Diceros bicornis minor: one gene and its partner. The protein of the gene in region 2 purifies or fractionates together with the protein of the main gene of each other region. This does not show direct contact. Links are inferred from orthologs where the notes say so. Each region holds a gene or a part of one and is shown on either strand. Other genes may lie near its edges.

Region 1 (7,522 bases), on a different chromosome or scaffold from region 2:
TCCGCATCCCGCAAGCCCTCATAGCACGTGGCCTGATACTGCGTGGCACTTCATGCAATTGTTATGAAGTGATGAGTTGTATTTAATGTTGTCTTGTCTATCCTCCCCACCAGTCAAGCTCCAAGAAGGCATGGACCTTTGCTGTCTTACAGTCTGTGCAGTGCCTGGCACAGGTTAGGCTCTCGGCCATTTGTTATGAAATAAATAAAAAAGTGAAGGAATGGAGGGATGCATGCCAGGCGTTGCACTGGGGGCAGAAAGGGATCAGAAATGAATAAGCATCGTTCTGGTCCTTGAGGAGGCCCCAGGCCAGTGGGGGGGATGATGTGAGTTCAAGAAGGAAGGAAGGAAGGAAGACTGTCCTAAATGCCTTAATGAGGGATAAACATTAACGGGATGAACACTAATGAGAAAAGCACCAAGAGACCCAAAGATGAGTGAGACTCAGTCCCGGAAGAGCTGACATAATGACTTCCCTTTGTATTACCTATTACAATGTACGAAGCACTTAACTTACATAAAATATCCAGGTATGCTCTTATCCCTCAGAGGTGGGGAAACTGCTGCTAAGAAGAGCTCAGGGACTTGCCAGGGCCACCCAGGCAATCACGGCTGCCTGAGTTCGCAGCTCACTTGCTTCGGAATTCAGCCCACACCCTTAGGAAGTGGACTTTGATGCTGTGAAGGTCTTGGTTTAGATCCCACTAGATGTGAAACTTTGGGCAAATTCCTTTACCTCCTTGAACTTTGTTTTCCTAATCTGCAAGATAGGAATAATGACCCCATAACCTATATGAGATGGTATCAGAAAAGTGCCCAGGATGATATTTGGTTTATAGTAAAGAATCCGTAAGTGTTTCTTGATGGCTGAATGAACTATATTTATTGGTGAGTGGCCTGAAATGCGAGGGGACCTAAAATCATGCCATTTGGAGGATGGTAGGAGAAATTGAGGGCAATTTTTTCCCTTCCCACTCTCACTTTCTATGATTTCTGTGAGACTTAGCCCTGGCCTCAACCACGTTGTTATAATTTATTGTTTGCAAATCAACAAAAGTGAACCTACCCTAGCTCGGTTAGCTTTCTTTTTATGTATATCTTTATTGCCTTTTTTCTGATGACCAAGTAATATATCCTCCTTCTAAAGATATTAAATTGCAGAAAGATGTAATGAAGAAAAATGAAAGTGTGAGTTGAGGCACAGGAGGCACAGATGCTGACATAGTTGTTCTTTGAGAGGTGGGGGAGGGGCACAGGACAGGGAGCAAAAAAGAATTCTTCCTGCTTAAAAATCTCTTACTGGCCTTGCCATGGTTCCTGGGAGTTCTGTTAGGAATCTTGCCTTTGACTATAGCATTGAAAGTTCAAGTTAAAGGCTGGGGAGTGGGGAGAAGGGGAGAATTGTCCGCGCTGAGGCTTTCTCTGGAACGCCATGAAGAATGAGATGGGACCCGTGGAACTTTCTATGGCTGTATACGCAGTTGGTTCAGATGCCCACTGCTGGTGTGTCTTGTAGCTGTGTTTTCATCCCCTTTCTTCCTTCTGAGCGTTTAGTAGAGTCTTTTTTGAAAATTTTTGCTACACATACACACACACACACACACACACACACACACACACAGAGAAAAGCAAAGCAAAAAGAAAGAAAAAAAGGTGAAAGCCTTCTATTTAGTTCTCTATAGTCTCCATATTTTTTATGCATACACTAAGCATATATTATAAGTTATAACTATGGGATCTTATTACACCTGTAATTCTGCAACTTACACTTACCCGTTTCATCTCACAATCCCCAGTAGACACCTTTTCTTGCCTGTTCATGAAAATCTGCCCCTTTCTTTTTACCAGCTGAGATTCTTGAGCTCAGGACTATCATCCCTGCTTCTGGCCCAGAGGCCAGCACACAAGAGGCCTTACTGAGAGGACATGTTGAGATAGTAACAGCAGCCACCATATCCTGGCATGAACTGGGTGCCAGGCTCTGAACTGAGCTCTTTCACATGTTATTTCGTTTTTTTTTTTTTTTTTAAGATTTTATTTATTTATTTTTTCCCCCCAAAGCCCCAGTAGATAGTTATATGTCATAGCTGCACATCCTTCTAGTTGCTGTATGTGGGACTCGGCCTCAGGATGGACGGAGAAGTGGTGCCTCGGCGCGTGCCCGGGATCTGAACCCGGGCTACCAGCATCGGAGCGCGCGCACTTAACCACCAAGCCACGGGGCCGGCCCTCACATGTTATTTCATTTAATCCTCACAGCCACTGTAGGAGATAGGTTCTATTATTATTCCCGTTTTTCAGATGAGAAACTGAGGTGCAGAGACTTGAAAGCCCGAGGTCACACAGCTGGTAAGTGGTGGAGCTGAAATTTGAATCCTGATCTGTCCTGTGCCAAAGCTTTTGCTATGAATGAATGAATAAATGGTTGATGGGGTCCTGGGTCCTGGGGAGAAAGTTCTGTCTTCAGAACTTCCAGTGTCTGTCCTGGGTTCTCTCTTCCAAGGTTTGCAATGCTTGGAATCAGCATCAGCACATAGGAGGGACTCCAAGAAGGTCCCCTTTTTTTTCCTGCAGCAATCCTGTGGCCTTGCCTACTTTTCCTGGGAAGTGGCATTTTTGAATCTCCTACTCTAAAAATAAGCCACAATTTGGTAGGGGCCCCAGAGGACCAGCCCAGGCATTTCAGGACAGCCATTTGTCTGTCCGCAGCACAGGAAATTAATCAGAACCCCAAAGCCCTTTCCCTCTTCCCACAGGCTAGCACTCTGGAAACGCCCATGCTGCAGCTCTCCTAGAGGACTGCAGAGATGCCAAGGGCAATTTAAAACAGATCTGTCTCTCTGTAAGGAAAGCGAGAGGCAAAAGGCAGGAGGGAGAAACGGGTCAGCCCTGCTGCAAAGAGAACTCACAGCCGTCCCCAACTTGGAGGGGTGCCGAGTGACAGAGACACCCTGGGGCATCAGATGTGACTTTGCAGAATCCACCTGGGGTCTTGATACTGGAGTGTTGGTTCCTGTGCCAGTGGCAGTGCTCTGCAGGGCCACTGTCAGCGAGCCGTTTCCTCTCTCAGGACCTCAGAGTCTTCCACTATGAAATGATTGGGTGGATTATCACTAGGGGTGCTGGGTGGTGTTAGGAGCTAGAAATAATATTGATGATAATAATAATGATGAAAATCAGAATGACAACTACGTTGTTTGTGGAACACTGCCTGGTGCTTGTACACAGTGTTTTTTTGTAATATGAAAACAAACACTACAAGGACTATGTTAATATTCCCATTTTACAGATGAGGAGAAGGAGGCTCAGTTTGGGCCAGAACATGGGCCAGAACATGGGCATATGATTCCAGTGTTTTCTGGCATCGGAACCTGAGCTCCACAAACACTTGTGGGTTCTGACCTCAAGGAAATGAGGAAGTGCTAAGAAACAAACGAGAGGACAATTTGATACATCAAAATGTGTTCACGCCACATGAGAGTTAAACACAATGCCAGGGGTATTCAGAGCAGAGAGTCAGCTTCTGGCTGGGGGAAACTAGGAGGAGATGTAAGTTGAGATGAGACAGCAAGGGAAGAGCATGAGCAAAGGGGCAGACGTGGGAAAGCAGTGGGTGTGCTGGGGGAAGTTTGGATAAACTTTACTGTGTGTGTGTGTGTGGGTGTGTGTGGGTGTGTGTGTGTCTGTAAAGGTAGGAAGAGATTGGACCAGGCCCGGGCTTTGGCCTTTATTCCACAGGCAATGAGGAGCTTACACAAGAGATGTCTCAAGAGACGAGCTATGCTGCTGCAGTCAGAGAGGAAGCAGCCCTCAGCGCATCTGTGTCCTGGCTTGTGAATGCAGCTCTGTGCCAGAATGTGGGAGGGCATTTGCGGGGAGAGAGTGTCTCTGGCTGTGTCCTGTACCATGCTGGGTGTGGGTCTTGGGCTCCCTTCAAAGGCCTCCTCCCACTTCTCTGGGCCCTAGGTACTTTGTACATGGTAGGCCCACAGGAAGTATGTCATAGAATTATTGGAGAGACTTTTGAGGTCATCTAGTCTATTTAAAGAAGGTGAAAATGAGGAACGTAGATGGGAAAGGACTTGTCTAGGATCACACAATGAATTAACAGCAGAGCTGGAGACTGCAACCCATGCCTCCTGAGACCACGCCGAGTTCCTTTTCCGCATTTGCTGAGTAATAGAAATAGTATTTGTTGAGTGATTACTCCATACCAGGCCCTGGGCTAAACACCTTTACACGGATTATCTCATTTAATTCTCACGACCCCCCCCCCCCCCCCCGAGAGTGCCACTCGTGAAAGCAGGACGTCTTGTCGTCCATTGCGATTTCCCACCATGCCTAGTACAGGCCCTGGGCACCTAGCTGGGAAACTCCGCCGAGTCCAAGTCCTGGGAAGAGGGAACAGGACCGAGGGGCGGGGCCGCGGCCAGCCCCGCCCCGCCCGCAGGCCCCGCCCCCAGGCCGCTGACGTCACCAGCTGGCCCGCCCCTCATTGTCAGTCCGGGGGAGCCGGAGGAGGCGCCGGCCGCCGGGAGCGGAGCGCCGGAGCCCTCGCGGGTGGGAGCGCGGTCGGAGCCGCCGAGGTGAGGGGTCCGCGGGCAGGCGGCGGGAGCGCGGCGCGGGCCGGCGGGAGGAGAGGAGAGGAGGGCGGCCGGAGGGGGCGGCCCGCCCCGCCGAGGGGTCGGGGCACCGGGGGCGCCGGGGCAGAGCCGGCGGGCGCACCCGGGGAGGGCTGGGGGGTGTGGAGTTGAGGTGGGGGGAGAGTTTGAGCGGGGTGTTGGGGGCAGAGCTCGGAAGGGGAGATGTGGGGGCGCGAGACCTTGAGAGATGTTTTGGAGTTGGAGATTTTTCTTCTGGAGGGGGAGGGAAGGTTCGGAGAGACTTCTTGGTGGGAGCGAGAATCTGGGGAGAAGTGTTGGGGCAGGGAGCCGAGGGCCGTTTTCGGGGGGGCGGCGGAGAGTCCAGGGCCTGGGGGCCCGGGGGAGGGCGCGGGGCGCGGGCCCGGTGGGGGCGGGGAGAGGCGCGGCGGGCGGGGGGCCGGGGCGCCGGGGAGGGGGCTGCGCGGGGCCCGCGGGCACCCGGGGAGGAAGGAAGTGATCTTACAGGAAGAGCCCGGAGCTCCCGAGGAGGAGGAGGAGGAGGAGGAGGAGGAGGGAGGCTGGGAGCGCCCGGCCGGCGTGCGGGACGGGCTGCGGCCGGGGCTGCGGGCGCGGGCGGCCGGGGAGGGGTCCCGCCGCCGCAGCTGTCGGCCCGCGCGCCGGCCCGCGTCCCGGCCGCTGCTGGTCTCGCCGCCAGACCGCCGGGCCGGGAAGGAATTCGAGGCATTCGCTTTGTTTAAGTTGCCAGTAGACAGTCCTCAGGACTAATTAATGGTGGAATCTGCAGGGGGACGCGGGCGAGCCGGGCCGGGGGCCGCCCCCCGCCGGCGCGGCGAACTTTCCGCAGCGCGCGCCGCCCGCCTCCCCGCGCGCCCCCACCCCTGCCGGCCGGGAAGGAGCCATGGCTTCCCGAAGCGCAGGAATGAAGTGCGGTTTCTGGGGCCGGTGGCCTCTGGCTGCCGGGGCTGCCTGCAGGGCGCCCGGCGTCCCGGGGCGGCCGGGCTGGGGGTTCGGAGCCCGGTGGAGAGCCCTCTGAGGTGCCTGCGGTTTCTGGGAATAACCTTGGCGGAGGCTCTGCGAGCCGAGAGAGGCCAGCTCGCTTTGGAGCATCTGTTTCTTCATCGCGTCAGCCCCTTTGCTAACACTGCAGAGCTTGTTGCGGCTTGTTTCGGAAATGCCGAGACCAGTGCTCACCCTCGAGGGTGGGAGAGGGGAAGAGACTGGGCACCCCCAAACCCCTGCAGTGTGATCGCCAGAAAGCCAGAGACGGCTTGCAGATTCTCCGTCGCGCCTTCACTGGCTTGAATGACCTTGGGGAAAGAATTGTGCTTCTGAGCTCCTGGTGCCTTATCTGTCGATGGAGGAGAAAATGCTCTCTGGACCTCCCTGCCTTTTGGGGATGTTTTGAGAGGTGGGGTTTGTTCAGGGCCTTTTACAGACTGCTGCGGTTCTGGCCTAAGGAGCTAGACTGGTGTCAGAGCCTGGGAATTCAGATCATCCAGGAAGATTTTACGACCTCAGATTAGAGAGGAAGGGGTTTGGATTTTAGGAGACGATTTCCCCTTGGAGAATCCGTACAGTATGTTCCAGATTGCTTTCTGTCACTTTGTGGCATTGGTAACATTCGTGTGGTTAAACTGAATAACCCCCATAGAAAATTCTTCTCGTCAGAAATAATTATTTTGCTCAGAATTCCCCTTGGGGCAGATTAAGGTTTTGCTCAATTTACTCAGAAGAATTTTCCAGGTTTCTAAAATTAAATCACTTTTCTAAACATAGCAACTGAAGTTTGAAAAACTGGAAATGGGGGGATGGGAACGGAATTGATTAGAGTATGAACAAGGCAGCAGATACGGTTTCATTGTTGTCCTGTGATTACTAATAGGGATTATGAATTAGCCTTGATTAATAGGTATTTTCTTACTCTTAAATAATCTAAGACCAAGAAAGGGAACTAATATTGTTGAGTTGCCTACTCCGTGCCCAGGAATTGTGCTAAGTGGTATATATCTCGTATAGTCTTCACAAGAATGCTGTGAGGTGGTAGTTGGCATCCGTGTTTCACAGATGAGCAAACTGAGGGTCAGAAGGCAAAGTGACTTTCCCACGTTTAGTCACATGGCTCTCGTAAGAAGTGGAGCTGGAATTCAAACCCAAGTCTGTTTCTAAAGTCCGCGGTTATCTCGGCTAGGCACACTGCATTGGGAATCAGGAGGCCTAGTTTCTAAGCCTTGACTCAGCCACTGGGTCACTGTGGATCGTAGAATAAGTCCATTAAGTCTATTCCCCAGTAATGTTGCCTCCTTTTCTTCCAGCAATGTTGTCAGTATGCTTTTGAGATGTTCTCGGTTTTTGGAAGAAAGACAAACATATGAGGCTGAGGTAGTGATATGTCCTATATGGAGGTGCTTAATAATTTTTTTCTTATGATGGAAATGTTTGTGTTCAAATATAGCGTACCTGGGTGATCAGAGATTTCATTTATGTAATGGAGGATGATGGATAGCTAATGGTACTTCCACTGTAGAGGCCATCATTAAGGTGACATTCATGATCAGAAACTGAACCATTTTTCATGTAATATGGCTTTTGGAACAGTGTCAACTTAAGGATAAAGCACATTACATACGGGTAGGACTCAGATTGTCAGGGTTAAAAATTTGGTGTAAACACTGATGCACATAATAGATGCTCAGTAAATACTTGCTGAATGACTGGATACATGCATTCTTTTTTAAAAATCAGCTTTATTGAGGTATAATTTACATACAATAAAATTCACCAATTTTAAGTGTGCAGTTTGGTGAGCTTTGACAAATATATACAGTTGTGTAATCACCATGGCCACCTTCGTTTGTTTAAACTGCGTCTTATCTTTGAGGTATTGGTTAGTGGAATGATTCCTGGGAATGTTGTGAGGT
Region 2 (7,046 bases):
TTTTTAGGAGGAAGCAAAAAGGGAGATGGGTTGGAGTCAAAAAAGAAAGGCTAGTGTCGTCAAGTTTAGAAACAAATGGAATTTCTTTAACGATCTGTAGAATGCTGCCAAACATTTTAAAGCATTTTAAACATCAGGTACACCAGTTCACAGGCCAGGTCATAAAGCATTTAGCATAATTCTGTTTTCAGTTTCATATGGAAGAAGTTTTCACCACAGCTGACAAAACTAGTGTGGCTGGGGAGCAGTAAATGCAAGCCTCTAAGTGCCAACTGCACCGGCTGACTCTACCCCGTATGCGGCGTGATCAGCCGTCCGTAACATGAAGTTAAACTATTAGAGCAAAATTACAGACAAATATCATGTTTTCTTTTAAATACTGATGTTCTAGGCCTGACTCTAGTCTTGAACAGTGTAGCGCTCTGGACCACTGCCCCCGTGGTTTCAAACAGACTTGAATGGATCAGCATTAGCCTTTTCTCTATTTTTGCTTGCCTTCTGAAACACTTCCTTAGTTTCCAGTCAGTATTACTTTTTTTAAAGGAAGAAACAAAGCTTACAAAAGTCTAAAATTACTAGAAAAGTCCTTAAAATGACCAATTAGACACATATTGATCAGGCCTTCCTAATGTGGAAGACGACGTGAGTGGAGCCATATTAAAATGGAGGCAGAGCAGCCATTTCAGAGAAATTGCCTGGCACCGGTCTTGTTTTCTTCGTCTTCCAAACTGGACCACACCGCCAACATTGCAAGAAGTCAGTGTGGACCAGAATATCCCGTTTGTAGGGACTGATGAAACTGGACTTTGCCAATGACCGAATCACTAACCAATCAACGAAGCACAAGTCTAGCCTTCTGCCTGATGACCGAATCTCGAGCCAACCTCTGAAGTACAATCCTAGCCTTCCCTCATCCAGCATCAGTGAACTCTTCCTTAATACAACGCACCTGTCCTCCTCCCTTTTCCCATAAAAGCCCTGAGCCCCTCTCCTGTAATCAGGACACTATTTGGGTTTCTACCTGGACCCGTGCTACCAGAATTGCAATTCTTCGATCCCAAATAAATGCTTTGCCTCGTAAACTGGGTTTTGTTTTTGTAGGTTGATACTCCTCAGGTCAAGGGTTAGTTAAGCAAATTATAATTTAATCACTTGTACACAATAATCAGAATTCATTTTACATTAGTCGAACACTAGACTATAATAAATACTCAAAACCAGAGGCTTTCTTTTCAAGATGAGTGAGCACTTGACTGTTTTTGTACCTACCACATGTGAGAAATTAATCCAAGTTTGAGGACAATGACTCAGCTTGAAGGAAGGAGGGGCAACATCCTCCTCATTCCTTTAAGAAAAAAATCCTTTTTTTCTGCTGAGAGGAGAGAGACTCCTGAATTGGTGGAGAACATGCCCTCAAAGTTGTAAAGCCCTGGGGGAGACGTGCCCTGGGGGAGACGTGTGAGTTACCTCTTACGCTGCTACAGAAAGGGAAATATTATCAGAGGGAAGTTAAGCAGCTGAGGGCAGGACCTCTAGTTCTGCTCCTGCTTCTTCTGGGGGTGGAATGCAGCAGGCTCAACCACGGGGAAGCAATTCTCTGCTGCTGTTCCATGTGTCTCATTCTGAGCAGAACCCCAGAACGTGGTTTTGGCTCTGGTTTCTCTATCTGTTGCCATCCATGAAATCATTGTGGAGGGAGAATTTCTCATTTTCTGACTCTTTCCTCCGGGTAATGATAATAATAAATGCCTCATTTGCTGAGATATACTGTGGTTATTAATGCTCTTTCCTGGCAAATAGACACCTCTTCTTGTTCTGGTACACTAATTGAGGGGGATAAAGGCATATATGCATTGCTTTTTGAAATTGTTGGTTTACACACTCCTTTGCTCACCCAGAAGCCGGTAAAAACTATGGAAAAAAATTCTGTGCAGTTTCAGGGGATTGTGGGTGCCTTAATAAGATTTTCATTTAACAACACCTGCACACATTTACACAACTTTAGTGACAAATGTTTACAGAAAGTACATAAAAGTTTCCACACCCTGTAAAAGGAACAGTGTTTCCAAAATTTATCATACATTATTTAGAAATGCTATACAAGCCTACGACTATATTAATTACTTAATAAAATCTTAATGAGTTGGGGGGGGGACCTGTGACTATCTTGTGCTTTCAGGCCAGTGACTGGCACTTTCAAGAAGGTGGCGGCACAGAGTCTCCTGTGGACGGAGGCGCACAATCCACCGTGAGGCTAACGGAAGGGCTGGGCACCGCATGCGGGGTTAGGCGACACGGAAGCTGCAGGGTCTTCCTTCCACAAAGCACCCAGCTGCCGTCCCCCCGCAGCCCCTCGTTTGCCCTCCTCCTCTCTAATCCTTGCCATCAGATGGATTCCTGGATTTTTAATTTTTGCTCTTAAGTGTTCTGGAGCAAAGAAACGGATCATTCACATCAGGGACCACTAAGCTGCTGCCTCTCTTAAAAATGCCTAATAGGAAAAGAGTAAGTTAAAAACATCTGGGAAGACCATATACCGGCACACAGAAGGTTCTAGAAGTTCTGGAGACCTGGAGTGTCACAGTCCCTAATCCGAACCAACGTCACCAGAACTTGCATCTTCTGATTGTTCTCGGCCCCCAAACGCTCACGTCCTGCCCGAGAGCGTGGCCACAGGAACGCGCGCGCAGGTGTGGCTTAAACCGAGCGCGCTCTGAGCCGAGCCGCGCCGCGCAGAGCGCCCCGTCTCCACCGACAGCACGTGTCAAGCCGCCCAGCCGCCGGGACCCCCACGCCGGGCGCGGCCCGGGCCGCCGCTCACCTGAGCTCCAGCTGGTCCAGGCTCTCCAGCAGGCGGCTGGAGCGGTCGGCCATGGAGGAGGAGCGGCAGAAGCGCCCCTCGTTGGCTTTCGCGTTGATCTTCGCCTGAGCCATCTGAGCCTCCGAGGCGGGGCGGCCGAGAGGTCACCGGGCTCCCCGGCGGCGCGAGTGGCGAGCTCGGCGGCCGCAGGCGTCGCCGTCACCGCGCGGGGCGCCCGCCCCTCTGACGCCCGCGGGGGGCGGCCCGAGGACGCGCCGACTCCGCCGCCGCCGCGTGGCCAAACAAGGGCAGGCGCGCCGGCCGCGGGGCCGGGGCAGCTCGCCGGCCAGGGGGGCTCGGGGTGGGCCGCCAGGGCCCGGGGCCTGAGGAGCGAAGCCAGGGGGCCTCCGAGCCACCTGGCGGGACGGGCGCACAAAGGGGAGGACCCAGCGTGTCGCCGGATCCTTCTCTCCGGCCCTGGCACAACAAACCGATGCGGAGACCCACGGAACACCCCCCATCCCTGCCCCGTGAGGCCGCGGCCCTCTGATGCCACCAGCTCCCCCCGCGCGAAGGTGCCAACGCTAGGGTGGGTGTGTTACTCAGAGACGCCTTCCCACGGTTTCTCCCGGCACCAGTAATTCACAGCAGACAGAAACGTTCAAGTCCTGTGATGTGGGGAGAAGAGGTCCCTTTGTGGAACAGGTGGCATTTGAGGACCGCTCCTAGGCGGTCTAAACTCGCCTGACCTGTCCTGTTCGTCACATTCCTGAGATGAGAAGAATGAAACCTGGACACCACCCCACTGAAGCTTATAGAGGAAAAAAGGAAAAACTACCCCATCTTGCTCTATCTGGATGTAGTAGGAAGCAAGGTGAATTTCCCTTATTTCCACCTATTCTGCTGAAGGGATTTTTGACTTTTCCTATTAAGAAATTATTCCTGTTGGCATTTGAGTGAAATAATTGGTATTAAGGCCATTTCACACCCAATTTATTTAAATCTGTTAAGAATGAAAAGATGCAGTAGGCCACTAGGTCAGACACCATAAAGGTCAGCAGAAGTGGAAAACGGCTGGGAGTACAAAGATTATCTACTTAAAAACTTGTGCTTTGCTCCCATCTCATTATAACTACATGCCTCATACTGCGAGGATGAGCATGTACAAGGCACATAAAATGATACATAATAATGGTTTAAGGTGAATCACAACCTTTAATCTGAGATCCAAGTTATTTATATGCTTGAACAGAGATGAGGCCCTTAAGCCTGGATACTGATTCCCTCTGTGAAAGATGACATGAGTGGAGCCATATTAAAATAGAGCCAGAGCAGCCATTTCAGAGGAATTGCCTTGCAGTCTTGTTTTAGCTTCCAAACTGGACCAAACTGCCAACATTCCAAGAAGTCAGTAAGGACAAGAATATCGCGTTTGTAGGGACTGATGAAATTGGACTTTGCTGATGACCAAATGGCTAACCAATTATGAAGTACAAACCTAGCCTTACCTCATCTAGCACTAATAAATTGTTCCTTAATACAACTTACCTCATCTTCCTCCCTTTTCCCTATAAAACCCAAGTGCCTCTCCTGTAATCGGGACACTATTTGGGTTTCTACCTGGATCTGTGCTCCCTAAATTGCAATTCTAATTGCCCAAATAAATATCTGCTGTTTGAATTCAGTGAATTTTTCCTCTGTCAACAGCTCTGAACTCAATCTAAATACTAATAAACTATTGGTGTAGGGGATTATTTGACCTCATCAAACATATTTTGTCATATCACGAAGCAAACTCGGAATCCAAAGACATTTTGTCAATGGTTTGAAAGTCTATCAAGTAATTTTGGAATCATCCTGGACTCTCTGTCTCTCATATCCTAGATCCAATCCATAAGTAAATCCTGTCAGCTCTACCTTCAGACTACATCCAGATTCTTCTCTCCAATTCTAGTGCCACCACTCCGGTCCCAGCCCCCATCAATTCTCACCTGGCTTACTTCACTACCCTCCTATCTGGTCTTAATGCTTCTACTGTTGCCTCTCATGTATGTTCTCAGTACAGTGACTACAGTATCCTCCTAGATAAGGCAGATCACACGACTTATTCTCAGAAACCTTCAGACTCCTCATTTCAGAGTAAAAGCCAACCTAGGTCCTCAGAAAGTCCTCAAGGACTTCTCCTGTTAACCTCCTAATTCATCCTGCTCAGGCATACTAGCCTTCTTGCTTTTCCATGAACAGATCAAGCTCACTTCTAGACCTTTTCACCCTCTACCTGGAATTCTCTTCCCCATACATATTTGTATGGCTCACCCCTCACCTTCTTTAGGTCTTTGCTCAAGTTCACCTGGTCATCCTTTCTGACCACCGTATTAAAAATAGCACTATTTATCTTTCCCTTCCCTATTTTCCTTCATTACACTTATCACTATCAGATATACTTGCTTCTTTTCTATCATTCTATCTCCGCACGCACACACACCCCACTCCCCCGCCACGTGTATGCTCCATAGAGGAGTACGGGCCTGGTATATCTCAAGTGCTTACACAGTCGTTGGCACATGGTAAATAGTAAATACTTTGTGAGTGAATGAATAAATAAATGAATGAATGAAGTAACAAAAAGATAAGCACCTTTGTCAATGTTCAAAACATTTACTTTGATAATTTAATAATCCATATAACTTTCTGTAATATCCTCTGATTACCTCTCCCCCTTGTGTCTAAATTAAGTTCAAATTATGAAGTAATTTAAAAATGATTTTTAATTGCTTAACAAGTAGAAATACAATCAGTGACAATTATTAAGTAAAACAGTAAACAACCCAATTACGTTTTTTTAAAGGTCACGATGAAATATTCCTTTCCTGTCAAATGAAAAGCTTCAGTTACTCTCTACACTACAAAAGCTTAATAGAATGTCAGTGTACATCACACCTATGTGTGGCACCTCTGGCAAAGACGTGTTGTTTCCTCTTCCCTACATCTGCTTAAGCACTCTTCTTTCTGGAACGTCCTTTCTGCTCCTCACTGCTGAGGAAGCTTCTGCAGATGTCTTGAAGGTCTGGCTTAGTGACTACCTCCTAAAGCCTTGCTTGACCACTTTAACATACAAATTAAAGGTACAATGTGGTCATTTCGGAAAAATGACTGGTAAATTCTCAAAGCGTGAGGTCTACTTAAAAAAAATGCAAGCAGGTAGTACAGAACTGACATCTTAAGAAATAAAAACACAAAATGGTTTCTAATGTGAACTGAAAAAGACTATAGTAATAAAAAAACAGTAATGCTATTTCACACTAAAATATCTAGTTGCAGAGAAAACAAAATTCTAGCCATGATTTTTTTTGTCTTAAAGAAAAACTTATATTTATAGAAAATTTTAAGTTTGGTAAGTAATTACCACTCAAAATTTTAGGGATGACATTTCTGGTCAAATAACATGAAACATATACACAAAAATAGTTTGACAAGCCCTTCTTAGTCTTCTAATTATGTGATATTTTTTATTAGTCACAATGGGGGCCTCAACTTTTAAAAATTACATATGTAACACTAAATGTAGGAAACTGATAATTTAATGAATAACTAAAGTGAAGATACTTCCATATGAAATAAAAATTGTAAAGGGTTAAGGAAGATTACTCCTGAGTAGACTGTCTACATTATTTTTTGAAGAATATTACATTTACACAAATATATATAAAAAAGGACCAACATTATTAAAAATAAGTTTAACTCTATGCAAATATTTTCACGATTCTCTTTCAACAGTAGATAATACAAGTCACATAAAAGTCTAAGCAGGTAAAAGGAATGGAAAAGGTTTCTTTTTAATAATTTCAAAGAAGTTAGGGTTTTGTTGTTTTTTTTTTTTTATTCCAGCAATGTGCTGCTCTAATTAAAGCAGGACTATACATCTGAGTGAAATCCACCAAGAACTCTGCTGGTAAAATTTTTAATCTGTTTCATGATCAGTTTCCATTACTTTCTTCTAATCATCATAGACAAAGATCTCAGAAATATTATATATTATTAGTGCCACGATAAGTGGCATTGACAGAAAAACTGGGGTATGACAGCTTTATTTATATTCATTTTCACTCCTAAAAAAATAAAACAGAATCATCTGTACAGTACAAACAAAATTAAAGAACTACTGCCATTCGGGAAACATATAAACAATAGTCAAGAGCTTTTCTATTTTTTTTAAATTCTTTTAATCTAAATATACGAATTCAAT

What was found. Proteins that work in one complex are often made in the same cells at the same time.
Region 1: the proteins of BAG2 (region 2) and LUZP1 purify together in Homo sapiens (affinity purification with mass spectrometry; 3 studies listed by BioGRID and IntAct, with this or other methods). This does not show direct contact. The link is inferred for Diceros bicornis minor from reciprocal best matches to the Homo sapiens genes BAG2 and LUZP1.

Annotation. Positions count from the first base shown.
Region 1 is NC_080752.1:39,714,491-39,722,012, reverse strand, and holds the start of LUZP1 (leucine zipper protein 1), read left to right. Parts: upstream 1-4,513; 5' UTR 4,514-4,586; intron 4,587-7,522.
Region 2 is NC_080753.1:10,219,859-10,226,904, forward strand, and holds the start of BAG2 (BAG family molecular chaperone regulator 2), read right to left. Parts: upstream 3,005-7,046; 5' UTR 2,935-3,004; coding exon 2,822-2,934; intron 1-2,821. UniProt on the Homo sapiens protein: Co-chaperone for HSP70 and HSC70 chaperone proteins. Acts as a nucleotide-exchange factor (NEF) promoting the release of ADP from the HSP70 and HSC70 proteins thereby triggering client/substrate protein release.